Linked DNA regions of Mus musculus: all the other regions are reported to be linked to region 1. Evidence: microRNA targets listed by miRTarBase, many of them from high-throughput screens and not tested one by one. Region 1 holds a microRNA gene; each other region holds the end of a gene's coding sequence.
What was found. Region 1 holds the annotated microRNA mmu-miR-709 (GGAGGCAGAGGCAGGAGGA, at 1,978-1,996, opposite strand). A microRNA usually pairs through its seed, bases 2 to 8, with sites in the 3' UTR of a target mRNA and lowers its output. Matches are read on the target gene's strand: a 7mer-m8 pairs with bases 2 to 8, a 7mer-A1 pairs with bases 2 to 7 and ends in A, and an 8mer does both.

Region 1 (7,000 bases):
CTTGGGCCAAACTTCTGCTCTCTGAGTACTGCCAGGTTTTTTTCTCGAGTGTTCCCCCCACCCTCACCTCTGAATAAGGCGAACACTTACTGTGGCTGGTGAGGCACGGGTGGTGTGGGAGTAAGACTGGCTGGCATTGCCTAGCATGTAGCCGCCTTGGATCACGTAGGTGCCTGCTCCGCTGCCGCTGCTGCCGCCACTGCCACCACCACTGCTGCCGCCTCCCCCATTGCCCCCTGCACCCACACTGCTGTTGCTGGCCCCAGCCTCGCTGCTGGATGAGCTGGCGACAATTGGGCTGCCGGACACATACATGGGCACTGAGCCGCTGCTGGCCACCGTCTGGGAAGTAGCCGGCGTGCTGACCTGGGCAGCCGTGCCCGAAGCCTCATAGTAGCTGGTGCCTGCCGTCTGCGTGTAGATAGGCGTCTCCGGGTACTGGTAGGTGCTAGAGCGGCTGCCAAGAAGCAGACAGGAAGCAATGGTCACCACCTTGTACAAGGAGGCAGGGGTTCCAGGAGAGGACCAGAGAAGCCACAGAAACACCAGTGTGGCACCTTCACATATAAGGGACTGGGGACAGCCTGAGCACTGGATGGGCAACCACTTTCTTGTTTTCTAAAACATGTCTTTATATTAACTTATTACTTGGAGAGGGGCACATGTGTTCCGTGGCATACACACAAAGGTCAGAGACAACTTGTGGGAGGCGGGGCTCTCCTTCCACTGTGGGTCCTGGAGACTGAACTCAGACTGTAAAGCCCGGCAGCAAGCACTGCTGAGCCATTGAACCAGCCCTCGCTGGGCACTGAGCCACAGCACTCCAGCACAGGAATCACTCTCCTCACTGGTACTGAGCCACAGCACTCACTGGTACTGAACCACTGCACTCCAGCACAGGAATCAATTTCCTTACTGCAGAAGAGGAGAAAACAAGACAGGGTCCAGAATGCAGAACGTACTTCCTCGGCAACAACGACAAACAGTTCTCAGTCCAGGGAAGGGAGATACAGGAGGGAAGGCAAAGTACAAAGGACTGCAGGGTAGGCAGAGGGGCCGCCTTGGCTACCTCTTCCTGGCAGGGAGCTGCCCCTCCAACTCAGAATATGTCCTGAGTGCCGCATAGGGTAATAAGCCGCAGATCTAAGAGGGGCAACTGTAGCAAGCAAGCCACCCTAACATTTGGGCCCATCTCTGCAGGCTGCAGACTAGAGGGGGTGAGGCAGGAAGAGGAGACGCAACATGATTGCCTTGAGTCCTCCACTGGGTACCGATGGACAGCCAGAAACGAGAGGTTGGGATGAGGAAAAGACCACCCTGTGTGTAGGCAGAAGGCTCTCTGTGGGGAGGGGACAGGCAGGGCCACCTCTCACTTTTGCTCTTTGAGCCCTCCCAATGTGACAGTGATTAAAGCAGGAAAACTTGAGCCTTGCAGGTGGCTCAGTGGGTGGGGATGTTTGCCATCAAGACCGAAGACCTGGGGTTGATCCCCAAAGCCACACAGCAAACAGACTCCAGTGTTAGCATTGGCACTACGCTCAATACATGGTGCATACAACCCCCCCCCATCATCCCATGCACACACTCGAACACATGTGTATACACACACACACACACACACACACACACACACACACACACACACACACACACACACACACACACGAGGGCCAGCAAGGTGGCTCTGGGGTCAGAGACTCACCACATGAACCTCTTACCTAGTACTTGAGTTCTGACCTCAGGTCATGACCTTGCTTCTCAGGTCTGATAAGCAAGAAGCAAGCCATTTACTGATTTATCTCCCTAACCCCCAAGAAAAATTGTAAGACAGAATATGCAAGCCCGAGGAACTGGATTTGCCCCTGCAACCTGTGTAAAGGAGAGAGAAAACGGACTCCTCTAGGTTGTTCTCTGATCTCCACCTGCACCACAGCACATGCACTCTCCCCACACATAAGTCAATATAACAAAAGACAATCCTCCTGCCTCTGCCTCCCCAGTGCTGCTCAAACAGGACAGTTCTATGCTCAGAGCACTTCTGAGTAGAAGCAGAGAAACGGGACACACTAATTACTCTGTGGGACACTGAGGGTCAGATTGAGAACCTGTGGTTCCAGCACGAGAGAGGAAGTGTCAGGCAAATCTCTGAGTTCAAGGCTACCCTGGTCTACAGATCAAGTTCCAGGGCAGTGAGGGCTATACAGAGAGACATTGTCTCAAAAAAAGTTTATGTTGTAAAAATGTATGTATAAATACATATATGTATGCTTTTTCTTTCCCCTTTTCCTGCCTAAAATCCAGATCCATCTAACTGCACAGCTCCTAATTTGTGGAGGTGCCTTCCCAATGGGCCAGTGTCTCTTCTGCTACCAGCTGCCTATATTCCTGGCACCCCACAGGTGTGGGGCTATCACCTGAGCCTTGGGGGCCAGCTGGGAGTTAGAATTGTGGCCCTAACCACATCTGAGCCCTCCTTCCACCCTCTGCCCACTTACATGGCGCTGGCTGTGTAGCTGGCATCGCCACCTTCCACGTACTGCACCTGGCTGGAATACACGTGTGGGACAGGCACCTGAGGGAGTTGCTGTACCTGAAGCAGGAGGAAAAGCAGGGTCATGGGTCAGGGCTGACCACCACCCACGGGTTCACTGATGCCCACATACATCCCCATCTAGAAGGTTGCACATCATGGTTTTCTGAACAACATGGGCCAGAGGTGGGAGGCTTAGGTAGGAGGCTTAGGTGGGGCCAGGTCTCAGTTGTGGCTGGAAAACAGGAGGTGCTGGGATTCTCTGCTTTGGCAAAGAGGTTTCTAAGGCTTATGAGCAAAGGAGGGGATACCAGACAGAATTCTGCAATGGGCTTGAGAGGTGGGTTTGCAATCTAAAAACCGGGCCTGGGGGTTTTCTGGAAACCAAAAAGGTTTCCCAAGCAGATTAGGGGTGGAGCCTGAAGAGGGATCAGTTGATAGAACAACTAGAAACAACTGACAACACCTTAGGGGCAGGTACTGGATAGCCTACCTCCACCCCCAACCCTGGTTTGCAGGAGCCGTGTCTGGGACCCAGTCCCTGAGGCAGAACAAGAATGACTGGCAGCACTTTGGGGGACAGGGTAAAGACATCTCACCCCACCCGCCTTGGGTTGCAGGGGCGAAGCCTGGGAGCCTGGACTTGAAGGCGAGGCAAAGCGGCTTGCTGGGCTGAATGCCCTTCCCCTGCCCGCCCTCCGCCCCCTGCCGTGCCTCCGCTGTCCGCCGCCACCTACTTTGAGGGCGGTGCCGAACACTAGCACCTGGGGCATTCTGTGGATCCTGACCCTCAGGTCGGGGCTGGCTCGGGCCGAGAGCCCCCGCTGTGGCTCGAAGACCACCCTCTGCTGCGGCAGGAGCAGGTGTGGGGGCAGCATGCCCACCAGCTCCACCCACTGCTCCACACCCGGCTCGTAATGGAGCGGCTGCTGCTCGCTGCCTAGCTGCAAGACCTCGCCGCAGCACACTGGCCCAGGCCCGGGAGGCCGGGGCGGCGGCTCCGGCGGCGGCGTGGGCCGGGTTTCTTGCTGCTCTGCCTTCCTAGCGGGAAACTGACTGCCTGAGCTCTGGAGGACAAACAGAGACACTGGGGTATCACCCGGCTGTGAACTCATGGCCACCCGAATGAAGATTCCCCACTTGGGATCTCCTTAGAGAAGAGAGGAACGAACTGGGCACTATCAGAAAGAAGCGGAATTCGAATCCAGCCCTCTTTCAACAAGACCTGTGTCCTGAGTGGTCAGGTGCTGGGATGGGGACGGATTCAGGATGAAGTCTGAAGCCGAGGGCTAGAGTGAAACCTCACTTCTGCAGGGCTTCAAACCTCAATTGCCCCCACTGTCTGCCCTTTAGGGTCCCCAGCTGGCTCCATTCCTCCCTCTGGATTAGGTGCCTGTACCTCCAGCCACAGCCCAGGACTAGTCTGATTGCCCCGACATAGACAGATAGGACACGCACCTCTTGAGCAACGTGAACTGGCTGCAGTCCCTGCACAGTCAGCTGCTGCACCGGGCCAGCTTTGGTCTGTGGAGTGGCCTGGACTACTGACCTCTGGCAAAGAAGGGCAAGGAGAGGCAAGTTCGAGTATGGTAACCATGGCAACTAGGGCAGCCTGTCCCATGCATGCTCAGAACAGCCGTCTTGGGAAAGGCTGTCATTCTTCAGACAGAGAGCAGCCTTTCCGTGTGGGGTCCAGTTAATACAGGCCTTCCAGGTCTCTTACTGCCTGCCTCTGCCATCTGGAGGTTCAGAGTGGTTCTTGCACGGGAAGGGAATACCTGTGGATCCTTTGAATTAGAAGGTTCCCATTTCCTCTAGGGAAGAGCCTACAGCTCGGGCCTATTTGAGGTTTTCAGCCTGGTACTGGGGAACCTGGGGTCTTATGCATGCTAGGCCAGCTCTCTACCACTAATCTACACCCCAGCACTGTTTTTCAATTTTTATTCTGAATCAGGGTTTCACTACATTGTCCAGACTGGCCTTGAAGTGGGGATCTGGCCTGAGTCTCTTGTAGTTGAGGCTATGAGGACACACAAACCATGTCTTGTTTTCTTGAAAAGCCAAGAATCCCAAGAGTTAAGCAGTTAACAAGGAGATACAAGACCATCCTTGCATCTTGGCCTGCTCAGGCCACTGTGATGGTATTAGGAAACTCAGTCTCCTTTGGAAGGTTGAGCACATCGTGAGAATGGCAGGCTTAAGAGATGGATCTGTGGTTAAGGAAACTGGTTGTCCTTCCAGAGGACCCAGGTTCAATTCCTAGCACCGACACAGCTTTAACTCCACGTCTAGGCACAAACATGGTGCATAGACCCACATGCAAGCAGAACACCCATGCTCACTAAAAAAAAATTAAAACAAATGTAAAATCTGAAGAAAAATTAAAACAGATGTAAAATCTGAAGGCCTTGGTGCTTCTTCTCCCCAGAAAGCTGGCTTTTTGGTTTTGCAGAAAAGAGATGACACCCAGGGCCTGTGTATGATGGGCAAATGCTCACCCTGCAGGCTTTGCTTTTCTTTTCTGTCTGTCTGTCTCTGTGTGTGTGTGTGTGTGTGTGTGTGTTTGTGTGTGTAGAAGTCAGAACTCAGTTATCAGGATTGGTGGCAAGTGTGCTTTACCCACTGAGCAATCTCTCTGGCCTACCAGTGTGTGTTTTCAAAGCCATAATGTGCCCTGTGAGGCACCTCTACAACTGTCACAACTAGGGACGCTGAATCTAGATAGAGGCAGAGAGAGGCTCTCGTCAAATGCTCACATGGTAGGCTGGAGCTGGGTCCATCTGCTTAGCTCCCACAGGCCAGGGACCCAGACATAGGTGGCTACTTGGCCTATACCCATGGCCCTAGCTACTGCCCGCCCTGGTCAGGCACCTCTTGGGTGACAGGGACACTCTGCTGGACGCTGTGGACCTGTAGTTGCTGCACAGTGGCCGCAGGAGTCCCAGCTGTCTTGCTGGTGGAGTTGTTGGCCTGCACTGGTGACCTCTGTAAGAGAACAAACAGAGACAATGTCAGGGCCAGCTGTGCTTGTGTCTGGGGCACCCAGGCTCTAACAACCTGCCTCAGAAGGACTCTGGAGAGGGTGGGATAGCCCACAGCAGCCACAAATACTGCTCTGCAGGACTCTACCTAGATGGGGCTCCAGGTGTCTCAGCCTCCATGAGGGCCAGAGGCCACTTGTAGCTTCTATATCAGAAGAGCTGCAGCAAAGGTGAGAAAGAGTAGGCTGGGAGCTAGTCTGGTCCCGTGACCCAGCTCCTCCTGATCCTGCCAGGCTTCCCAATGGGACAGTAGTAACAACACTGAATCTACTTTCACCTCTTGCTGCCCCCACTGCTTGCTGCAATGGATGCTTCAAGACCCCCATTTCCCAGAGAGAGATGCCCAGGGCCACACAGTGAGCCTGTGCTTGCTCTAGGGCATGCTGCACTAGTGTGGACTGCAATTCTGATGTGAGCAAGTGGATGAATCATGGGTTTTACTAGTTCTTCCTGAGACAGGGTCTCTCTATAAAATGCAATTTAGCACCACACTTGAAACCTTCCTGCTTCAGCCTCTGTATGCAGATGTGTGGCAACCCAGTGCCATTAGCTCTGTTATACACAGGAAATACTGGGCTATAATGCTGGAGACCTGCCCAAAGACTCAGCTAAGCCTGGCATCTGGCCCTGTATTATTTTTCCTTCCTTCTTTCCTTCTTATTTATTTATTTATTTATTTATTTATTTATTTATTTATTTATTTATTTATTTATTTATTTAGAGAAAGTGTCTCACTATGTAATAGCCCTGACTGTCCTGGAACTCAATATGGAATCTCATGGAGATTCCAGTCTCTGCTTCCCAAATGCTGGGATTAAAGGGCCCTGTCTGGCCCTGCACTCTTAATCTAAGCTCAAGACCATCTGCAGCCCACTGCCTCCAGGCTCTCCTCATTCGTGTGTGTGTGTGTGTGTGTGTGTGTGTGTGTGTGTGTGTGTGTGTGTGTGTGTGTTCCAAGCTCTCATGATGGGACTCTATTCACTCTGAAGCTGGAAGAGAAAACTCTTTTACTTCCGGACTACAGCTCTCTCAACATCGGCTGGGATGGCAGGGCCAGGCAGACATTAGCTGGGAAACCCACCCAGAGTCACTGGAGCAGGGTGTAGGACTCAGGAGCTGCAAGTGAACTCAGGGCAAAAGAGCTCCAGCTGAAGCCAGGCACAGCGGTACACACCTGCCACCCAGCACTCGGGACTAACACGGGAGGAGCTCACGGTAGAGACCAGCCTGCTCCACATAGGAGGTTGGTGCTAGCCTGCATAGCACTGTAACACCCTGCCTCAAAAAAAGGTCATGGGGGACAAATATGCTGCTGGGGCCCATGGCTAGAACAGAGAAAGATGGGACGACGTCAGTGAGGCACACTTACCTCAGGAGCAGAGTGCACCTGCTGGGCACTGTGCACCGTCAGGGAGACCTGGCCACTCTT
Region 2 (7,159 bases), not on the chromosome of region 1:
ATGACATCAGAGAGCAGTGGTTCTCAACCTGGGGGGTTTGCATATCAGATATTTACATTATGATTCATAGCGATAGCAAAATTATAGTTCTGAAACAGCAGGAAAAATAATTTTATGGTTGGGGGTCACCACAACATGAGGGACTGCATTAAAGGGTGGCAGCATTAAGAAGGTTGAGAACCGCTGCTGTAGAGCCTATACAGGGAGTTTTGACTGAGCTGAAGATCATAGAACATCTTGAAAATCTGGGAACTCGTGGAGTGGCATGCATTTTAAAGAGAAACCAAAACCAGCTGCTGTGTTCAGTTGCACCAGGGTAGGACCCCAGCTCTTGGTTCCTACCTCTCTCCTCTGTGTGTCTCCAGGCCCCCTCCAAGCCCTTCAGGAACCATCAGCGCAGCCTACGGCCAGCCGCAAAACCACTCCATCCCTGTCTATGAGATGAAGTTTCCTGATCTGTGTGTATACTGAACTCCAGGAGACAGAGCTCCTTAGAGGACACAGTCTGCAAGAGGACCACCCCCCTGCTCACTCTCACCTTGGAAATCTAGCTGGGATGGCTAAGAACTTGTCACCTTGGACAGTGAGCAAAAGGTCCTCTCTGGTCCTCTGTGGTCCTCCTTCCTCCTTGTCGTCTTCCGTGAGAAGAGTCCAGCCACCTCTCCTCTGGGCTAATAAGCATCTGACCTGTCTTCTCTTGTATCAGCCAGGGACAGAGAATCACAAGGACATCTCCATTGAGAAGCAGAAGGGCCTGGGAAGCCTCCATTGGGGATGTGTCTATGAGGGAGTGTCAGCCACTCCCAAAGAAAGGAGCCTGATATCCACATGGTTGGTCAAAGGAGGGCAGAGGTGGCACCTGGGGAAATGACCCTGTGAAAGCTCAGAAGTGATGTCTGCTCTCGCCTCTTAAGTCTTGGTTGTCTTACCCAGCATCCCGCCTACTCTCTAGTTGTCTGCATTTCTTTTTCTACTATTAATCAATGCTGAGGACTTACAGCCAGAGCTGGGGACAGACACTGGAGCCAGCAAGGCTAGCAGAAGAGCTGGGGATGGAGAGGGGCTGGGTCTCCCAGACTGGGTGGCAGCTTCAGCAAAGCACGAGTGTGGTGAGTCTGTGTCCTGGCTGCGTAGCATCTTCCCACATCTCTGTCCAGAGGAAGCTTGGGGTGGGTCTTCTCTGGTTCTCTCTCTTCTGGATGTTTCCTAGTTGTTAAGTTTGGTCCCTGATGTCTTTGTTTCCACAGCCTCTGGGATGAGAGAAAGCTGAGCAAGCTAGCTGGTTCTAGGTGGCTGGAGAGGGGGGGAGGAAGTGCCAGGGCCCTGAGGCCTGTCTGCATCACTTCCTCTGGAAGATGCTCCCAGCAGTAGTGAGGGCTTGAGAGAGAGGCAGGCAGTTGAGCAAGTGGCACTTTAGAATTTGGGGAAAGAAAGATTTAACAACTAGGATTGAAAAAATATTTTCCCTCTTTGGGCTAAGTCTGAGACACTGGGGATAATTGGCCTTGCTTGTAGCCTGGGTAGAGGTGTTAGGAATCACTTTGGCTTCCATTTTCCCTATGTGCTACCTCCCTGTCCCTATGTGACTTGGTGTGCTGGGAGCAGCTGACCCAGGACTGGGTGGGTGCAAACAAGGCCACTTGCAGTTATCTTGGTTTGGCCCTTTCCTGATGTCCCTCGTGGTGTCTCCGTGCCTCTCAGAATGCCTAGCAGTGGGCATACTCCACGGTCCAAGATAGTCCATCTTTTCCCTTTCAAACTTCCCATACGTTTTCCAAGCTGTTTTTCTCTCAGGACCAACATTGCTCCAGAGATTTTTGGTTTGGTTTGGTTTGGTTTGGTTTTTTTCGAGACAGGGTTTCTCTGTGTAGCCCTGGCTGTCCTGGAACTCACTTCGTAGACCAGGCTGGCCTTGAACTCAGAAATCCACCTGCCTCTGCCTCCCAAGTGCTAGGATTAAAGGCAGAGATTTTGCTTCTTGTAAAGGGGAAGTGGTTCTGTGGTCTGCAGGAATCATTTCTAAGGTATGGTTGTAGGCAGTGTGGCCTGGGGTCATAAAGGAGAAGTTGAGCTCCTCGGGACCCTGCATAGTGACAGCCTGCTCACTAGGACAGGTGGCAACATTTTCCAGAATTAGGAGAACTTGAGCACATGTACTTTTCGTTGCATATGTGATAAATATCACAGATGGGGCACTCCTGACCCTTTCCCCAGAGTTTCCCATTTGTAATACAACTCTTTCCCATGTTCTCTGCACTGAGCTACGGGCTCACGGCTCCAGCATGGCCTGCATGATCTCAGGTCCCTGAGGACAACACCCCAACACCACTCACATGGCTTTGGAGCTGTGTGGCTACTGCTCAACCCAAGTTTATAAGCATGGCCTTGAAGGCAAGTTTAAGCATGAAGGCAAGTAACCTTTTAGAAACTAAGAAAATTTAAGCCTTGTGCTAAAAACTGTCTTTTTTCACTTGCCGGCCACATCCTCTATCCTCTGCTTAGCTAGAGTAAGAGTCCATTAGTTTCTTTATTGTTCCCCACTGATGTCATTGTCCACCCCTGAGACACCTTAACCCTAGTTGTGGATTGGGAGAGACACTTCCTTGGAGTCTTTTGAGAGCCAGCATCAGAACCAGATGCCTCCAGGCCCACACAGATATGTCTGTCTCTCACCTTGCCCTGGGAACAGAAGAAAGGCACAGCGTTCATGTCTGCAGAATCAATGGCTGCTCGGTCTAAGTATTTCTTTTTCTTCATGCCGTGGCTGTGTAGTAGGGACATGCTGCTTTTAGAGAACTGGTCACTTGTGTGCCCTCTTCTTGGTAGAATTGATTTAAATTTACATCCAGTAGGATACTGGGTTGCCTGTTGACAGGAAATGGAATCTGATCGTGACCAAGTATGCCTCAGAGTCAGGAAGTCTAGATGGTGGGTGCAGGAGGATCTGTCCCTCCATCACAAGGCAGGGAAAAGAAGCACAGCGAGTGGAGGCCGGGGAGCAGCCCAGTGCCCATGCTTTTCTAGCCCCTGGTGTCTGATCGCACTGTCTCAAATTCTGTTCTCTTTCCCTATTGTAAACCAGAATCCAAAGGAGCCAACAAACCTATTAAGGCCAAGCAGTCCCTACCCCACCCCCATGATCAAAGCACCCAGGGCTCTGGCCTAGAGAGTGACATCCTACTGACAGAATGTAGCAGGTGGGAGTGTGTTTAGGGTTAGGAGTTAACGTGGTTGACCATAAAAGTGTAAACAGTAGATTAAGAGAAAATGCCTGATCCAGAAGCAGCTGCTGTTTTCCTATGCTGAGTCAGTTTCTTGTTTTCTCTTGACTAAAATAGATGGTTTCATGACTCCTAAGTGGCCTCATCAGAAAACCTAGAAATGCCCCCTCTGGCTCCCACCTTCACGCAAAGCCGGAGAACGTAGGCTGGGACCAAGGACCCTGGTCAGAGCAGCCATATCCCATATGCTGCCTGTGCGTATGGGATATGTTACTGGTCTTGGTCCACACGATGCAGTTCAGCTGAAGTAGGATTGGAAAAGCCTTAAGACTCTTGACTTCCTGAAAAGAAGCCCCAGACTTCTTGAGGGTCCCTGGGTCGTGGTGCCTTCCAGTTGTCCTTTTGGTGTCATAGACCTGCCAACCTGCTACAGAGAAAGCTGCTAAGCCCTGTGGCTTAGCTGTGTTTGGGGCCTGGGGGAAAGGCAAGGTCTAAGCTGTGGGTCTGAACTTTGTGTTTAAAAGTAGATTTGGAGGTCGGGAAGGGGTCTGCTTTTTTTGACCTTCTCCAGCAAGCAGATTGCACCAAAGCAAGAATTCTGTCCTCGGAATCTGGGAATAAAATTTAGGGGAAACAGTCTGGTTTCTATGACCCTATAAAGCTGGGTCTTGTCTAAAGACTGCAGAGGGAAATCATGGGAGGCCCTGATCGTGATTCTGGGCACCAGCCTGGCTCCTCAGGGAGCACGGAGATCTTCTGAGCCCAGCACTTGCCCTTTCTGAACTCTTAATGACTGGAGTCTGGCACATGGAGTATAAAAGTGCACACCCATAGATGCTGCAGCCCATCATCTCAGTGTGTCCGAGTTTTTGAGACCTTCATGCCTGGCTGAGTGTGTGTATGTGTCAATGTCCGTGCATGTGTGTGATGTAGTTTATAGTTGCCAACATTGTATATATAATAGCTGACATATTTATATGTGAGTACAGAATTGGCACCTGTGGCAGTCTTCTATGTTTTAAACTTGTTGAATCAACTTAGTTTTCCTTCCAGGGAAGGGGGTATTCTGAAGTCATTTTTTAGAACTATTAGCTGTGGTTGGTGCCCTTTTCAAATAAATGTTAATGTTGTCACCATATGGCTGTCTATTTGAATTCTTAAAAGAAAATAGCGTTTTTCTGTTTGTGTGGATAAAAACAGAATTTGAAAAATATCAAGTGTACCATTGGCATTTATCCACCTCCACTGACCCTGACTTTACATCTGGCTCTAATGAAGGAGGGAGGAGAGGATATTACAGATTTGGAAACCTGAAGGGTGGATTCCCAGCAAGGGAGCATCCTCAGGAGGGTGCAGGCCATTCCCCACCTCCCACATTAGTGAGAACTTAATCAGATTTTCTGACTCCCCTTCACACCAGGACTCGCAGGGCTCACCATGTCCTTGTGAACTCCTACCAGACATAAGGGCTTGTGAACAAATACACAAATACCAGGTTTATGATGTCTAATCAAAGTGATGGGTATGTGTGCATGCCCTGTAAATGTGTCTGCAGAAGTGTGACTCAACTTTGTAGAGACACCACAAGGAGACAGAAGCAACACAACACAGGCCTGCGGAGCTTGGAGTTTCTCTTGGATGAGGGGACAAACCAGACACATAGCAAATCACCTGCCATCCTGGCCAGACAGCGTGCCTTCCAGCACAGAGGGAGAGGACCTCGGGAACCCTAAAAATAAACAGGGCCACTGGATGAGTGTATGCCTGGCCTAGTAGAGGTGGTCTTGAACCTAGGCTTGCATTGAAAAAAAAAAAAAAGATTCTGAAGGTGGGCGAAGGTGACACTGGGGATGGGATGGGGGTCCAGGCATGAAGAACTGAAGAGTAACAATGAGACCAGCAGACATGACGTTTCCTTAATCCCAGGAGACATGAGCTAAAGGCTTGGCAGGGGAATGAACATGATTGACATGTTCATCTCTATACATACATGTAGAATTACATATATCCTTTTTTTATACATGTTCATGCTCTATATATTTTGCCCCAAAAGCTTGCAACTAATGAGAAATTGGGCCATGGGACTGACAAGCTCTTTTAAAAATATATGCATTAATGTATATTGTATATAATGTAATGTCTGCATGGGCAGGAAAGCTACTGGAAGCAGGTTGGTTAGTGGACATCTGCAGGGAGAACTGAGAATGAAATTGAACATCACGGGGAAGGGGCTGGGAAGACACAGCAAGATAGGAAACCAATGCCCTCAAGGCTTGAGCCGAGGGACAGTGCATCTATCTCCTTGGGGTATAAAGAAGAGGGTGAGACCGTGTGTCTTAAGAGTTTATGTGAGGGCTGGTGAGATGGCTCAGCAGGTAAGAGCACCCGACTGCTCTTCTGAAGGTCCGGAGTTCAAATCCCAGCAACCACATGGTGGCTCACAACCATCCGTAACAAGATCTGACTCCCTCTTCTGGAGTGTCTGAAGACAGCTACAGTGTACTTACATATAATAAATAATAAATCTTTAAAAAATAAAGGGAAAGGAGAAATGCACTTTAAAAAAAAAAAAAAAAAGTTTATGTGAATAACCAAATCAGACCGGCTACCACCTCTCAATTCTCACATTTTCCTGAAAAAATGATGGAATCTCTATTTTCCTTTTATCCTCCCCAGAGCCCTTATACCAAGAATATAAAGAGACAGATAACTAATCCCTGGGAGGGTTCAGGAACCTGCCTGGGGTCACAGATAAGGACTCAACATTGCAGAGTGTCCCTGTGTCCCTGTAACTTCCTGAGTGACATCCCAGAGACATTCCCAGTGGGGAATAGGTCTTGGTAGCGCCACCTGGCTTCAGGTCCCTAAGGTCAGTCACTCTTGTAGGACTTGGCTTTGGGCCAGGCTCAAATTAAGCAGCCATTCTAGAAGAGTTGGACAGAGAACCACCCTGGGCCACCCAAACTATCTAGTCCCCCACCAAGAGTGTTTGCTGGGGCAAGGAGGTTGAGAAATGTTTTCTTTACATTCTAGCATCTGGTCACGTGATAGTGTAACTGGACAGTTGTGTTTTGACTTTATTTACGCAGTTTTTATTGAAGATCAGAGCCGACTGTGAAATCTGAAAGGTTTTATTTCCTAACACAGGTAACTCTAAGAGGCTAGAGGTCATCAGCTCGCCCATGCAGGGAGGGGGCCTTGGAATGAGAAGACCCCTGCACCCTCACTGGCCCTTCTTGTGCGCGTTCTTGATGATGGCGTTCTTGAAGAGCGTCACCAGGGGCGTCTGGCTCTTCTCGGAGGTCATGAAGCCACCGTAACGCTTGTCCTTGGGCGGGTTGCTCCAGCGGAAGTGCTCCACCCGGTAGGGCCCGTCGTCCTTCTCCGCGTCGGACTCCAGGACCTGCTCCAAGCCTAATGGCCGCTCGCCTTCCAGCTCCCTCTTGAACTCTAGGGGAAAGGCCTCCGCCGACTCGTTCTCAGCAACGTTGGGGTACACCTTCACCGGGCGCCGTTTCTTGCCCACCGGCTTGCCCCAGCGGAAGTGCTCCATGGAGTAGGAGCGCTTGCCCTCGCGTGGACTCGGCTCTGGACTGCCATCTCCCCACACCGCCTCTTCCTCCGCACGCCTCTGCGCCGCGCTGCCAGCACTGCTGCTGTTCCTGGGGCCGAAGCGGTCCCAGCGGAAGTGACCCATGACGTACTTCCGGGGGTTTTCAGTCAGGGGCTGTTCATCTCCGTTGCCAGGAAACACGGGCGTCTCCAGCGAGAGGTCGAGTTTGCAAGCCCGGATGCAAGCCTGTAGGGAGGCCAGGCGAGTGAGCCAAGCCTGGCTCTGCGGCCACCGTTTCTGCACCCTAATTCGGGTTCCAGTTTGGGCCTCAAGACCATCACACCTAGCAGTGTGGACTCCCGAGGTCCCACCAACATCCTGCACC
Region 3 (7,159 bases), not on the chromosome of region 1:
CACTGTACCTGTCTTCAGATCTCATTATGGATGGTTGTGAGCCATCATGTGGTTGCTGGGATTTGAACTCAGAACCTTTGGAAGAGCAGTCAGTGCTCTTAACCACTGAGCCATCCCTCCAGCCCCTTTATTATTATATCTATCTTCAGATGCACCAGATGAGCGCCTCAGATTTCATTACAGATAGTTGTGGTTTTGGGAATTTGAACTCAGGACCTTCGGAAGAACAGTCAGTGCTCTTAACCACTGAGCCATCATCTCTCCAGCCCTTTCTCAGGCCTTTTCTCACTCTGGCTTAACTGTTCTTCCTAGGTTGGGCAGCTGCGGTGACCTTTAATCCACAGGCCAGGGAAGAGCTGGGCCGATTCCGAAGGCGGCCGGACACCTTCAGCCTGGGCGTGTGTAATGGCTGTCAGCTGCTGGCTCTTCTGGGCTGGGTGGGAAGTGATCCCAGTGAAGAGCAAGCTGAGCCAGGCCAGGACTCCCAGCCAACACAGCCGGGCCTCCTGCTCCGCCACAATCTGTCTGGGCGGTTCGAGTCCCGATGGGCCACCGTACGTGTGGAGCCGGGGCCAGCCCTGATGCTCCGAGGGATGGAAGGCTCTGTGCTGCCCGTGTGGAGTGCTCACGGGGAAGGTCAGGCTGGGAAGGCAGGGGAGGGTTTGCAAGCTGGGGCTGGGGCTGGGCCTGAAGGAACTTGGCCTTCACTCTCTTCTCCTTCACTTCCAGGCTACATGGCATTTTCTTCTCCTGAACTCCAAGCCAAGATCGAGGCCAAGGGCCTGGTTCCTCTGCACTGGGCAGACGATGATGGGAACCCCACAGAGCAGTACCCTCTGAACCCCAATGGATCTCCAGGGGGCATAGCTGGTATCTGTTCCCAAGATGGCCGACACCTGGCACTCATGCCGCACCCTGAGCGGGCTGTAAGGCTTTGGCAGTGGGCATGGCGACCCTCTCCCTTTGATGTTCTTCCCACCTCCCCGTGGCTGCAGCTCTTCATCAATGCTAGGAACTGGACCCAGGAGGACAGCTGCTGAGGAGGCCGCATGACCACCCTGGCCCACAGCTCACCCTTTGACTCCGTTGCCTTCTTTCCCCATTGCTTTCAGGAGTATCCCATGTGATTTCCAAAAGCATCTTAGCAAGAACCAAAATGCTGGGATGACCTCAGCTGCATTGCTCATTTTAGCCTTGCCCCTGCAAGAGCTGCTTTCAGCTCTTGAGTTTAACATGGATCTTCAGCAAGCGGCTCAGGCTCCGAGGACAGCTGACAGGCAGAGGGGTGGGCAGAGATTTACTGGCAGCCCTCCCGGGATCATCGCCTTGTGATCCTTCATTCTCTTGGTTAGAGCTCTGAGTGAGCTCTCACATCCTCGTTTTCTTTGGCTTTGTGAGATCGGCTTTCAGTCTATAGCCCAGGCTGGCCCTAAACTCAGAATTCTTTTGCGTTACCCCGGGTGAGTTGCCAAGGCGCTTGGCATTGGCTTAGGGTCTAGGAATAATGTACATCAGTCCCTCCCAGCCTCTGCCCAGCTGAAAAGAGCAGCTTTCCGGATCCCTTTTCAGACATGCACTGCTAGTTGTTAGGAATCATTGCTTCTGTCCATGCTCAAGGCGCTGACCTGTGCCTATCTCAGATCACATTCCTGATTCTTGCTTCTCTTAATTTAGCAGCCACCTTACAGTAGTTGATACCTTCCTTCTTAGAGCAGAGAGCCCTGGAGCTTGTTTTTTGTTGTTTTGGCTTTTCAAGACAGGGTTGGGTTTTTGTTTTTGTTTTTGTTTTTTGGGTTTTTTTGTTTTGTTTTGTTTTTATGTGTGTATAGCCCTGGCTGTCCTGGAACTTATGTTGTAGACCGGCTGGCCTCGCACTCAGAGATCCATCTGAGTGCTGGGGTTAAGGCATGTGCGACTACTGCCTGGCCATTCATTTTTCTTCTTGTTGCTTGATCAGTAGTGGTGCCTGACATTGGTACTGACCTAATGGAGTTTGTAGTCTTTTTTTTTTTTTTTTTTTTTTTTTTTTGGTTTGGTTTGGTTTCAGGCAAGGTCTCTCTGTGTAGCCCTGGCTGTCCTGGAACTCACTTTGTAGACCAGGCTGGCCTCGAACTCAGAAATCCACCTGCCTCTGCCTCCCGAGTGCTGGGATTAAAGGCATGCGCCACCACGCCCGGCTTGTTTGTAGTCTTAATAGGATTGAAATAATAATAGCTCCTTAGCTTGTACTGCCAACCTAAATAGGTGCTGGGTAACTTATGTGTCTATCATAAAGATTAAGGTATTTGAGAGGTGTTTCCCAGTTAACAAAGCAAAGTTTAGTGATAAACTGTCTATGATTGGTTCCAACTTAAAATGAACAGCAAGGCGCCCTACCCACCCAGCTACATCTGCCTGTGAAGATCCTGCAGTCACAGATCACGTCTTGGTAGTAGCTGTTGTACCGACAGCCACCTTCATCATCCGTTGCTTCCTACTTACTTGTACGGTAGACTCGGGTAGCCCCCTAAGAAGCTCGATGTCATGATTAAAGGAGTTTCCTTATAAAAACAGACTAGCATGTTGGATTTCTAAATATTTCAGGGTTTGGGGGAATGCAGAACACTTGTGCTTCTGCAGAAGTAGCACCCCAAGAAGGTACTAATGGTGAATAGGTGTTAAGCTGCAGGTTGTATGTCCATCTGAGTATTAGAACACTTGCCTAGTATCTGTGTTTCCTGAGTTTGATTCCCGTCCAGCACCACCAAAGGAAGATATTTGGAGATGGGAAGTCAGATCTTTCTCCGTTTTGCATTGCAAAGTAACTTTTCCTAACTAGAGTGATTCTAAGGATTTTGTTTGTATTTTCGAGACCCATATGATGTTCTGGCTGGCTTTGAACTCATAGCTGAGAGTAATCTTGAAATCCTGGTCTTCTACCAAGTGCTGTGTTCTGACCTAAGTACCATTTTGGACATGTGAACATTCCCTTTGATGCTGTGGAAGAATATATATTTTGCTTATGGTGGTACATGCCTTTTATCCCAACACTTAGGAGATAGGGGCAGGTGGATCTTTGTAAGTTCAAGGCCAGCCTAGTGAGTTCCAGGCTAGTCAGGACACTGTCTCAAATTTATATATTTAAAGTATTTATGAAAGTATTTTTGTAAGCCTGAGTAGGCAAGATGGCTTAGTGCAGAAGTTTTCAACCTTCCTAATGCTGTAACCCTGTAATACAGTTCCTCATGTTATTGTGGGCACAACCATAAAGTTTTGGTTGCTATTTTATAACTGTAGTTTTGCTGCTATTAAAAATCATAATGTAAATGTCTGTTTTCCGATGGCCTTAGACCCCAAGAGGATCGTGACCCACAGGTTGAGAACCGCTGGCTTAGTGGGTGGGGGTATTTGCTATCAAGCTTAATGCTTTGAGTTCAGCCCCTGGAACTCACGTGGTGACAGGGAAGAACCAACTCTGCAGTTGTGATGGCTTACTTGATGCGCCATGGCACATGCGCACAAGCACACACACCTGTTAGCACACATGTAGACAGGTGTGTGGTACTTGATGCGCCATGGCACATGTGCACAAGCACACACCTGTTAGCACACATGTAGACAGGTGTGGTGGTACTTGATGCGCCATGGCACATGCGCACAAGCACACACACCTGTTAGCACACATGTAGACAGGTGTGTGGTACTTGATGCGCCATGGCACATGCGCACAAGCACACACACCTGTTAGCACACATGTAGACAGGTGTGTGGTACATTCCTTTAGTCATATAAACCACTCAGTGATACTTTAGTCTTCGTTAATGGAAAATTTCCAATAAATGGAAAAAGATGCCAAGTGGTCCAATGGAAGTGTGTTGTGCGTGCAAGGGCCGATGAGTCATTCCTGGTCTTGCGTTCACCTTTTAAGACTTACTTTACACTTGTGTGGTTTGCCTGTATTTGTGTGTGCCTGGTATCAGAAGAGGCCTTCAGATCCCCTAGATCTGGAGTTATCAATGGTTGCAGAATTGAAACCAGGTCCTCTGAAAGAACAAGTGCTCTCAACAGCCGAGCCATCTCTCCAGATTTACACCTGAATCTTTAAACACCCTTTACAATAGCATCTAAACCTCTTAAGCAAGTCCTGTCCTCGTTTCACCTCTAACAGATTTTTAAACAAATCCTTGGTTATATACAAGGCTGTCACAGCAGCACAGAGACCTCGGCCCAAATCACCATTGTGATCCCACCTTAAAGTGAATTCCAGGACAGCCAGGGTTACACAGAGAAACCCTGTCTCAGAAAAACCAAAACCAAACAAAAACCCAATGCTTTAATCAAAGATATGTCTCCCAAGCAGTGTAAACTCCACAGTCCCAGGAACTCTGTCCTAACAGTGTCAGTAAGTCTATGTGGAATAAATAAGTAGATATAAAAGTTGATTTATTTTTCCCAGGTACCTTCTCTGTGTAGCCCTGGCTGTCCTATAGTTGCTCTGTAGATAAAAGGTGTGTGCCGCCACCACCCAGCTCGCATAGATTTTTGTTGTTTTGTTTTTTTAAGTATTTGTCCTTGGGGCTGGAGAGATTGTTGCAGGAAATATCTTTTAAAAAAAAAAAAAAAAAAAAAAAAAAAGAACGTCACATTCCTGTGCTTGTGCCTTTGGGGTCTGGCCAGCTATGCACTGGCAAGCAATGGCCAACCTGTTTTTAATCTCATGGAGACTCTTGACCCAGAACTCCACAATCTCTCCACCCAGCTTGTTAGGTTCTCACTGGTGGGTCACTACCACACCAAGCCCATGCTTCAAATCCCCTACAGCCTTTGTGGTGCACATCTGGCAAACCCACTCCTTGCTGCCGTACCTTTCTCTCTTGAACCCAGATGAGCTAGCTGAGTGAAGGAAAACACAAAACAAACTTAGTTCAGAAACAATGGTAACTCAGTCTCTGGGCACAACAACTAAAACCTAATCTTGTAAGCTTTATTAAAATGTGATTCCTCCAGCGGTGAATCCTTGAGGATCCACCATGGTACTGGGAAACTCTAGCAGGTACATCTTACTTATGTAAGATGCCTTGTGCTGTCCCCAGTCGAAAAATGGTTATAAGTACTGGCTGCTCTTGCAGAGGATCTGGGTTCAATTCCCAGTAATTCCCAGCATCCACATGGCAGCTTACACTGTTACTTCAGTTCTAGAGGATCTGACACCCCCACACAGACAGACAGACATGCAAACAAAACAATGTACTTTAAGTAAACGAAGAGGTAGCAATATGAGATAAACCATGTAACCATTTAAAGATTCATCTATTTATGTAAATGAGTGTTCTATCTGTAAATACATCTGCATGCCAGAAGAGGACATCAGATCCCATTGCAGATGGTTGTGAGCCACCATGTGGTTGCTGGGCATTGAACTCAAGACCTCTGGAAGAGCAGTCAGTGCTCTTAACCTCTGAGCCATTGAGCCATCTCTCTAGACACACATGTGGATTTTTCTTTTCTTTTTTAAAGATTTTTCCTTAATAGAAAGTGGTGTCAGTGGACTGGGTTTGTAGGTAGATTGCTCTGCAGTTCTCCTTTCTCTTTGGTTGGTTTGTCCAGTCATTCTGTGTCATCAGGCCAATGAAGGACACTAACTTGACATTAGTTTCTCATCGTTTCTCCCTTTGTATCTCTCCTCTCCCTTCTCTAACTTGTCTCTCTTCAGTTTTATAGGAGGATAGATATATCACAAAATTAGGCACATTACTGTCACTTTCTGTCTGTGACCTGGTGATTGCAAGGATGGCAGGCAGCCAGCAGGAGGCTTGTGGACAAGAGGGCCAAGTGGGGACTACCAGATGAGAGTTGCTTTCTCTAGGAACACCCCAACCACCAGGTACCCTCTGCTCTCTAGCATCACTCTGTGCTTCACTACAGACTGTCACGGGGCTCAATAGATCTCTCTCTCTCTCCCTCCCTCTCCTACACACACACACCATCACCACCACCACCACAAACAAAAGACATGCCCATACAAGGATGTGGGTACTAGGCAGCAGTGAGCCTGTGGACTGAAGATGTTGCCTCCAGGAGCTGTGCCAGGGTCTAACTGTTGTCTCATAGCTGATGTTCTTGAGACCCTGTGGTGTTAAACAAGCAAGTCTATGGTTGGCCACTCGGGGGCAGCAAACAGCCAGAGGTGAAGCTAAGGAATTGCTGGCTAGACCTAGGCATTTCTAGGGCTTAATCCAGGTAAACTGGTCTTTAGGATTGCCTTTGGCACAGGGTCACCCAGCACAAACAGACATGAGTAACAACATCTGTCCGTTTGGCTTCAGGAGCAGGAAGGGTGGCACAGAGGGCTGTCTGTGAAGCTGGCTGGGGCCTGTCTACCAGGTAAGGGTTGTGAAGAACCTTGGCTTTGTGGCACACTGGCAGGAAGCTGAACCAGGACAAGTGATTTCTTTCTTTGACTTTAAAATGCTCTCAACAGCACAGGGTTCTGGAGGAAAGAACACAACAGTTTGCCTGTATAGAGCGCTGAAGAGGTGTGGCAGCACTATAGGAAAACAATATTTTCAGAGGCTGGACAGGGTATGCTAACTAAGGAACCAAATGGTTGAAAATGAGTCTGTCTGGGCCAGGAAGAGCCAACTAGAAACAAACCCAGAAACACCTAGCAGAACATGTTAAGGAATCAGGACAAGATCCAAAAACAGTGGGAAAGCAGTTGAAGAGGTGGATGTAGCGATGCAGGGATGAACAGATCTGTGATTTGGCTGTTTTGAGATAGGTGCTTGTGTAATGTACACTACACTGGCTGTAAACTCACTGTATAGCTGAGAGTGGCCTTGAACTCCCAGTCCTCCATCCCTCACCTCCAGAGGGAGGGCCGAGGTTACAGGAGTGCACGACCACAGCTGGCTTTGTATGATGCTCAGAATCGAGCCTTGGACTGCATGCATGCTAGACAAGCTACTGTACTGAGTTTTACTCTCAGCCAAACTTGTGACCTAGAGATTATAGTAGCTGCAGAGAAGGAAAGAGGATGGGAGGTGGAGAGAGTCCAGTGTGGAAGCTATATACTGACCACATAGCAATCGTGTTGGCCTGGAAGAGTAGTAGGCCTTAGGGATGGAGAGAAATGGGAGGCCAGGAGGTGGTGGTGCATGCCTTTAATCCCAGCACTATA
Region 4 (7,159 bases), not on the chromosome of region 1:
ATTTTCCTGCATGTACATACATATATGCAGTGTATACTTGCCTTGTGCTTATGGAAGATGGACGAAGGTATTAGATTCCTTGGAACTGGAGTTACAGATGGTTGTGAGCTGTCATGTGGGTGCTGGGAGTTGAACCCAGATCTCTGTAAGAACAGCCAGTGCTCTTAACCACTGACCCATCTCTCTGATCCCTTTCTTTTGTTATCACATCATTTCTTTTATTCATACTTGGATACATGGTTTAATCTTGTTAGACCCTGATCTCAGTTTCCTTCCTTTTCTTAGCTTAGGGTAGACAAATCGACAGACAGACAGACAGACACACACACACACACACCATTTTGGAAGTGTCCCTCAACTCATCATGAAGCAGTTCAAAGAAGACCAACCTTCTGCCTTCAGTTCCCCTAATAAGTTATTGGAAAGTTCATCAAAGAGAGGTTGAGACAGCAATCGTATGTGTGGGGCAAGAGGACCATGCCACCAGACAAAAGAACTGGTAAGGCTGAAGCAGGTTCAAACCCTGGCTTATCTCATCATTGAGAATAATAGGCATTGAATTAGCTCCCAACCAGGCTCTAGTTGTCCTGGAACTTGTAACCATGACACCACATTGAGAGGACCACCACAACTGGTCACATAATATAAAAACCTAGAGTTCTCCTTGCTAGTGAGGTATCTAGATAGGCCCTCAAGTGCTTACACAATGAGCCTCCCTTTTTGGGCATCCCTCCCTGTAAAAGGTATTTCATCCCTGGTTCACCCTGAGTAAGATCTATGCATTCACATCTGCCAGGAACAAAACCATTTGGACAAGCAAGGACCCTCTCCTTCATCAAGGATTACTGCAAGGGAGGCCTTAAAGTGAAGAGCCACACCTAGATCTCCTATAGAAGGCCTCTCTTCCAGTCCCTCTGAACTTTTAGGCACTCACCCAGAAGCAAACCAAATTCATCTACATCCTGGTCTCAGCCATCCCTTTCCTGCCTGGCATGTAGGGGAAGCTCAAGCCTCTGGACGCCTTTCCCCAACTCCTCAAGGTCCCCAGTGGCAGCTGGGTACATAGGAGATTGAGAACCATAGCATCAGTCCTAGATCTCACTGTTTCTTGTCCATTGGAACACTGGCTGGGACCCCATCTGGAGTGAATTCTGCTTTCCCTGAGCCACTTGTTGGTGGGGTTCTGGCATCCCAGCAGTGAGGTAGACACACAGACCAACACATATGGGAGAGTTTAGCAACACAAGATTCTACTTGGTTTGAGCTATGTATACCCTCCGTTCTAATAATGCACTTGACAACCAGCCTAGCTCTTTTATGTGCATGTACTATACACTGCATACGCTCATGGAAAATGCATCTATCCACCTTGGACCTTCACCTGCTACACATATATACCCTTCTATGAACAAAAAGGTAAATTTCTGTTCTGCTAAAAAAACAATCAATCTTTGTTTCTCTTCAAACGTGATTCCTATGTATGTAGGTACAAAGTATAGAAAGTCAGACATAGGCTGAACTGATTTTGTGTGTGTTCACAGCAGGCCAAAATTGTGTCCTCAAGTAAAGCTTTAGGAAGAATCCCTTATTTACGATCAGATCATATGCCTATGCATTCTTGGGCATCCATGTGATGGAAATCAGATGCATTGCATGTGCTGGATAGTTTTACATAAACTTGACACAAGCTAAAATCATCTGAGAGGCAGGACCTCAATTGAGAAAATGCCTCCATAAGATTAGGCTGTAGGCAAGCCAGTAGAGCATTTTCTTAATTAGTGATTGATGGGGGAGGGCCTGGCCCATTGTGGGTGGTCCCATCCTCGAGCTGGGGGTCCTAGGTTCTGTAAGATATCAGGTTGAGAAAGCCATGAGGAACAAGCCAGTAAGCAGCACTCCTCCATAGCCTCTGCATCAGCTCCTGCCTCCAGGTTCCTGCCCTATTTGAGTTCCTGTCCTGACTTCCTTCAATGGTGACCACCATTGGAAGCATAAGCCAAAGAAACCATTTCCTCCCTGAGTTGCTTGTGGTCATGGTATTTAATTTCATCAATAGAAACTAAGACACTATGGGATGGGACATTTACATCAGAAAAATGATTATGTAACTAACTTATTGATCATAATAGCTGCTCATGCTATTCCCTCTTCTTGAACTCCATCCAAGGATGTCTCAAACAATAACTAAGAGCCCAGATACTTTCTCATATATGTGACTGTCACTACTTGGTAAGTTTATTTCTTCCTGATCTGTACTATTGATTTACTTTTGGATAAAATTTCTTCTCAGTATGAGCTCTTATTTCAATCCTTTGAATAAGAGGCCAACAACCAAGATCCTGTCCCTGACCACAGGTAATGTGATGGTAGTGTCTTTGGTTGTAGAGAGAAACTTGAGCCTTGTCAGGATATAAGTGATGTTGGTCTTCTAGTAAGATGGTTCAAACCAGTTAACCACTCAGACTGGTGGTACACACTCACTCCTACAATGATTTGAACAATCCTTTTATCATAGTCTAGGCATTTAGAACTTGTCATCACAATAGAATGCTTTTCTTACTAGTGCTTTAACTTATTGAAACACATGTGCTTCAGCCTGGAAGATCCACTCACAACTATTTTCCCTCAACTTGGAGTATTTGAAGACTGCTGTCTCCTGAAGAGATCTATGGCAATTTCTTCCGTGATGGTGAGGTTGACTAATACAGGAGGCTACAGTCTGTTCTTCCTTCTCTCTTCTGAACAGAACTGGCCTTTACTTCAGCAGGGCTGACTGAGAACTACTAATGTCTTGCACCTTATGATGTGACTAAATTCAGGGCTGCTGGTATGGAAGGTGGAATCGAAGCCGCTGGGTTGGATTTCTTAAAGATAAAAGGTTTGGAACCTCCCACAGGTTGGCATGTGATTGCTAAGGTCCAACTTCTCCCACCAATGGGGAGGGAGGCCAACACACCTGGTTAGAGAGACAAGAATGTAGAAAGAATGTGGGGTAATGACTAGGTCCTCAGAGGAGATCTGGACTGCTTATTTACAGAGTTACTAAACTCAAGAGGAATAATCTGTCCTGCTCAAGCTGTGATTATTTTTAGACCCTGTATACAGTGGCTGATTACTACAATGTGTTACTAAGAAACACTTTATGTTCAAATAGCGTCAGTTGAATGTTATGAACAAGGCAGGAAACATATTTTTAGAGATATTTAATGATCTGTTTTTCAAATCAGTACAAAAAATTTAAATACAAAATTGATTTGCCATTCAGTCTCAAATCTATTCATGGGAACTCAAGCAAGTTACCGGTCTTTTCATCATTCTTTGTTTCTGTAAAATATTTGAGGACAACTGTCCTCTACAGACATTCCTTTCCCCTGTGGGACGTCATACTGCATTAAAACTCTCTGTTTAAATAGAACAATGCCAGTTTGGTCCATTTCACTTGGAAAAGCTCTAGTTAATTTTGTATTAAAAAGTGATCATAGTACTGTCCCTAGAAAGTAGAACACATACTTGATTCACTTGCTTTCACACCACTGTGGACATGATGGACAACACTCAAAAGGGAAACACAGGTACATAGATAATTATTTAAAACTCTTCTTTAAATTAAATGGAGTATCATTTAGCTCTGATATTAGCACCATGGTAGAATATACAGTATCTGGCATAGATTTTTGCTCCTCCTCCATTTAAAAGCTTAGAAGCATATGCCTGATAACACACACACACACACACACACACACACACACACACACACACAGAGGCAGGCAATTGAGTAACAACCAATAAATAAGTTGGAAGATATCTCAAAAAGTGAAATTTGGTTTAACTTAAGAGATAATTTCTGTCTTTCTTTATGGAAACTAAAATACCATACATGTACAGATAAAAGCAACTTTACAACCCATCTGGCCAGACCATTTCAACGTAGCTATTGAGCAGAAAGAGCGAGGGACCCATATGATTTCCATAGTGACCAGCTATAAGCCAGTGTCCTTAGGAGCGACCCCAAGGAAAGCTGTCCAAAGACATGCTGTTTACTTTGCAAATGAAGGTTTGGTAGGAAATTCGTTTGGATTCGAAGGTGCTCTTGTGTAATTAACAATGAATGAAAAACCTTGTGCTAATAAACACATTCTTTTTTTAAAAATTCAAGAAAAAAATGGTGTCTGTGCCTCATAAAGGGAAAAGACCAATAGTAAGCCGTGGCAAGAAGAACTGTGGTGGTAAAAATAATTCAGATTTTAAATAGACCATGCTTTATACTGTATTTATCTGTGCATTTTCCAATCTATGTCTCTCTCTTCAGCTCCTGGTTTTTAACTTTTGAGAAAAGTAGAATACATTCTATTGCTCTCATTCCACATTATTCCCCTAAGCAACCAAGAGCAGATGAACGGAAAACGTTCAACTGGTCGTGTTTTGAGCATCAGCCAAAGAACCTACTATGTGCCTTAATTAGAATCTGAAAAAAAACAATTTCTCTTTTCCAACATGGTTTGGCTGTGGTGCTAAGCGTGCAGTGGCATCGTAGGCCTGAGGTGCTATGGCTTATGACACTCCAGCTATCTCTTCCCCAGGCGGATGTTAAAGAAACAATTATCTTCCTACAACCGTAGTCCCTATTGCTGGAAGCAACATGCCTGCTTTTGAATATCAAACCTTATAATTACTCTTTTAAAATATAATTTTTCCTATGTAATTCTGATTTTTTCCCCCAAATTAAAAAAAAAAAAGAATGGTTTGGATTTTTGGCAATTGACTTTGGAACCTCATGGCATAAGTCATAGTTTTAAAATTCATAGTTACTGGGAAAAAAAAATGACAGCTACTAAGACAGGTGCAGACAAGGTGAAACCTCACTACACTTGGCTCTGTGGACACATTAGTGTTTTTGTTTTATTTTACACAACTGATAATTGCTATTAATAATAAATGTTCATGAAATGGCAAAGTTGTTTGAGGGAAGGCTTTGTAAAAAAAAGATTTGTTTATATTGCTTAGGCTATGTTATATATTATGTGGAAGGGTGAAGAAGGAAAAAAGAAAAGTTACAGAAAATTCCGAACTGAAACCCTTTAGATGGGTTGATATTTTAATGACTCTGAGCTAAACTATGAGCTCCTGTGGGCTCTGCCCTGCATCCCAGGCTAGCATCTCCTGCCCTGCATCTCACCCAGTTGCTAGGCAAGTAGACTGCTGAGCAGATACACAATGGGCCATTGGTATAGCTTTTCTTTTGGGGACACCACACACATCCACACACAATTCTGACTAGGTAGTCCTGCAGCTCAAAGCATTGCCTCTAACACAGAGAAATATCCTTTGGACTAGAGATTACCATGGACCCTGCACTACAGAAGAACCCTCCAAAATCCCACAGTAAAACACCTGCATGAAATAGAGAGGAAAGCATGCAAATAAATACAGTATGTAACTCTCACCATCAACCTCTTAAGGCATATTCAAAAATACCTTTACAAGGGAGCACAAAGAATGAATACTGTTCATTAGCGATGATGCTCCAGACTGAGATATTTTGACTGATTTGAATAAGCAGGTTATGAAATCATATAACATGGAACAGCTAATGAGTCCGCTGGGTACAACACACGTGTCAGTACTTCATCCATACCTCGGTCCCATGATCCCATTACAATCTGCTGTGCACAGGACTAAACATGCGTTTTAGTTTTTATTTGTACATGATGGTCCAAACTTTCACTTAAATATAACTTTCCAACTATTATAAATGTTTTGAAGCATTGTTTTCAATTGATTTTTTTTTTTGGTGTGTCATTTTCTTTTCTTCTATTAAATCTCTTATTTTTTCTCTTTTTTTTACATGGGATACAATAAATATCCTGAAAAGGAGGAGTGGACATATTGCCCGGCATAGAGTCCAGCAGCCTGTTCTGAAGGCATTTGGAGAAACACCTGGTCTCCGGGACGGAGAAGCAGTACTGCGCTTCCAGATGCTTGGTCCAGAAAGCCCTTCTTGTACTCGTCGTATGTGTACATCATGGGCTCGTTGTTCTTGAAGAGAGCAACCCATACGTTGCCTCCCTTGCAGTGAACATGATAAGCAAAGTAGTAGACACCCGGGACTTCACAGGTGAAGATGCCTGTCTGCGGATTGTAGTTCTGTCTGCCGTTGTAGAGCAGCTTGTCAAACTTCACTGGGGCCCCCACCGGTGGGAAAGGTACAGTCAGCTCGGCAGTAAACGCAGGCATCTCATAGGCTGGCCCTCCGTGTTTGCCCTTTTTGCCCGCATAGGCATGCGGAGGTTTCACCCCATCAATTCCTAGTCCCATATCTGGCAGATACTCTCCCTGGGGTGATGGTGTAGGCATCACAGCTGGAGGGCCTGGGGGTCCTGGAGGACCTGGGGGTCCAGGAAGGCCAGGCTGGCCTTGAGGCCCAAGGGCACCAGGTTTCCCCGGGGGCCCATGAAGTCCTGCTACTCCTGGCTTCCCTACACCAGGGAACCCAGGGGGCCCTGGGAGGCCTGGTTCTCCTTTGGGGCCCGGAATCCCAGGGGGTCCAATAGGGCCACTAGGTCCTACGATCCCTGGAATCCCTGGGGGACCCTGTAGACCCTGATCCCCAGGTATGCCAGGTTCTCCTTTGGGTCCAAGCAGCCCTGGAACACCGGGAAGCCCTGGCAACCCTTTGTGACCACCTTCTCCCTTGGGTCCTATAGGACCAGGCAAACCCCTCATGCCAGGGGGACCTACTTCACCAAGAAAACCTGGCTTCCCAGGGAAGCCTTGGAGGCCAGGCTCTCCCTTGGGGCCTGGTGGACCCTGTGGTCCTACAACTCCACCTTCTCCTTTGGGTCCAGGGAAACCAATAGCACCTGGAGGGCCCATGGGACCCGGGATACCGGGTAGGCCTGGCTCTCCAGGTGGACCCCCCATTCCAGGAGCACCAATGGGTCCTTTTTCCCCTCTCGGCCCAAGAACCCCAGGAACACCCCCAATACCCCGGTCCCCTTTGGGTCCTGGGAAACCTGGCTTTCCGACCCCTGGGAGGCCTGGGGGTCCAGGCAACCCTGGCAATCCTTGTTCCCCTTTACCACCCGGAAATCCTGGTTGGCCCGGGATCCCATCCTGACCTGGCTTTCCAACTCCAGGCATCCCAGGAGGTCCTTGAACT

Region 2: the mRNA of Efr3b is a reported target of mmu-miR-709. Seed matches in the 3' UTR shown: 7mer-m8 at 1,931-1,937, 7mer-m8 at 1,937-1,943 and 7mer-A1 at 2,903-2,909.
Region 3: the mRNA of Pfas is a reported target of mmu-miR-709. Seed matches in the 3' UTR shown: 7mer-m8 at 2,126-2,132 and 7mer-m8 at 2,132-2,138.
Region 4: the mRNA of Col8a1 is a reported target of mmu-miR-709. Seed matches in the 3' UTR shown: 7mer-m8 at 3,761-3,767.

Annotation. Positions count from the first base shown.
Region 1 is chr8:84,081,163-84,088,162 of GRCm38, reverse strand. It overlaps Mir709 (microRNA 709), which reads right to left and starts at 2,064; the gene lies at 1,977-2,064. Rfx1 (regulatory factor X, 1 (influences HLA class II expression)) reads right to left here. Exons shown (of 21, transcript NM_009055.4): 5 at 6,941-7,000; 6 at 5,402-5,515; 7 at 3,989-4,081; 8 at 2,496-2,590; 9 at 91-457.
Region 2 is chr12:3,959,754-3,966,912 of GRCm38, reverse strand. Efr3b (EFR3 homolog B) reads left to right here. Exons shown (of 23, transcript NM_001082483.1): 23 at 366-4,359. The coding sequence ends at 471. It overlaps Pomc (pro-opiomelanocortin-alpha), which reads right to left. Exons shown (of 3, transcript NM_001278584.1): 3 at 6,270-7,020. The coding sequence ends at 6,445. Among named protein-coding and RNA genes, the nearest start is that of Pomc, 8.4 kb to the right of the region's middle.
Region 3 is chr11:68,981,844-68,989,002 of GRCm38, reverse strand. Pfas (phosphoribosylformylglycinamidine synthase (FGAR amidotransferase)) reads left to right here. Exons shown (of 28, transcript NM_001159519.1): 27 at 313-636; 28 at 730-3,302. The coding sequence ends at 1,040. It overlaps Gm32384 (a long non-coding RNA gene), which reads left to right and starts at 5,435. Exons shown (of 4, transcript XR_001780244.1): 1 at 5,435-6,363.
Region 4 is chr16:57,621,070-57,628,228 of GRCm38, forward strand. Col8a1 (collagen, type VIII, alpha 1) reads right to left here. Exons shown (of 4, transcript NM_007739.2): 4 at 3,187-7,159. The coding sequence ends at 5,842. Among named protein-coding and RNA genes, the nearest start is that of Gm51269, 14 kb to the left of the region's middle.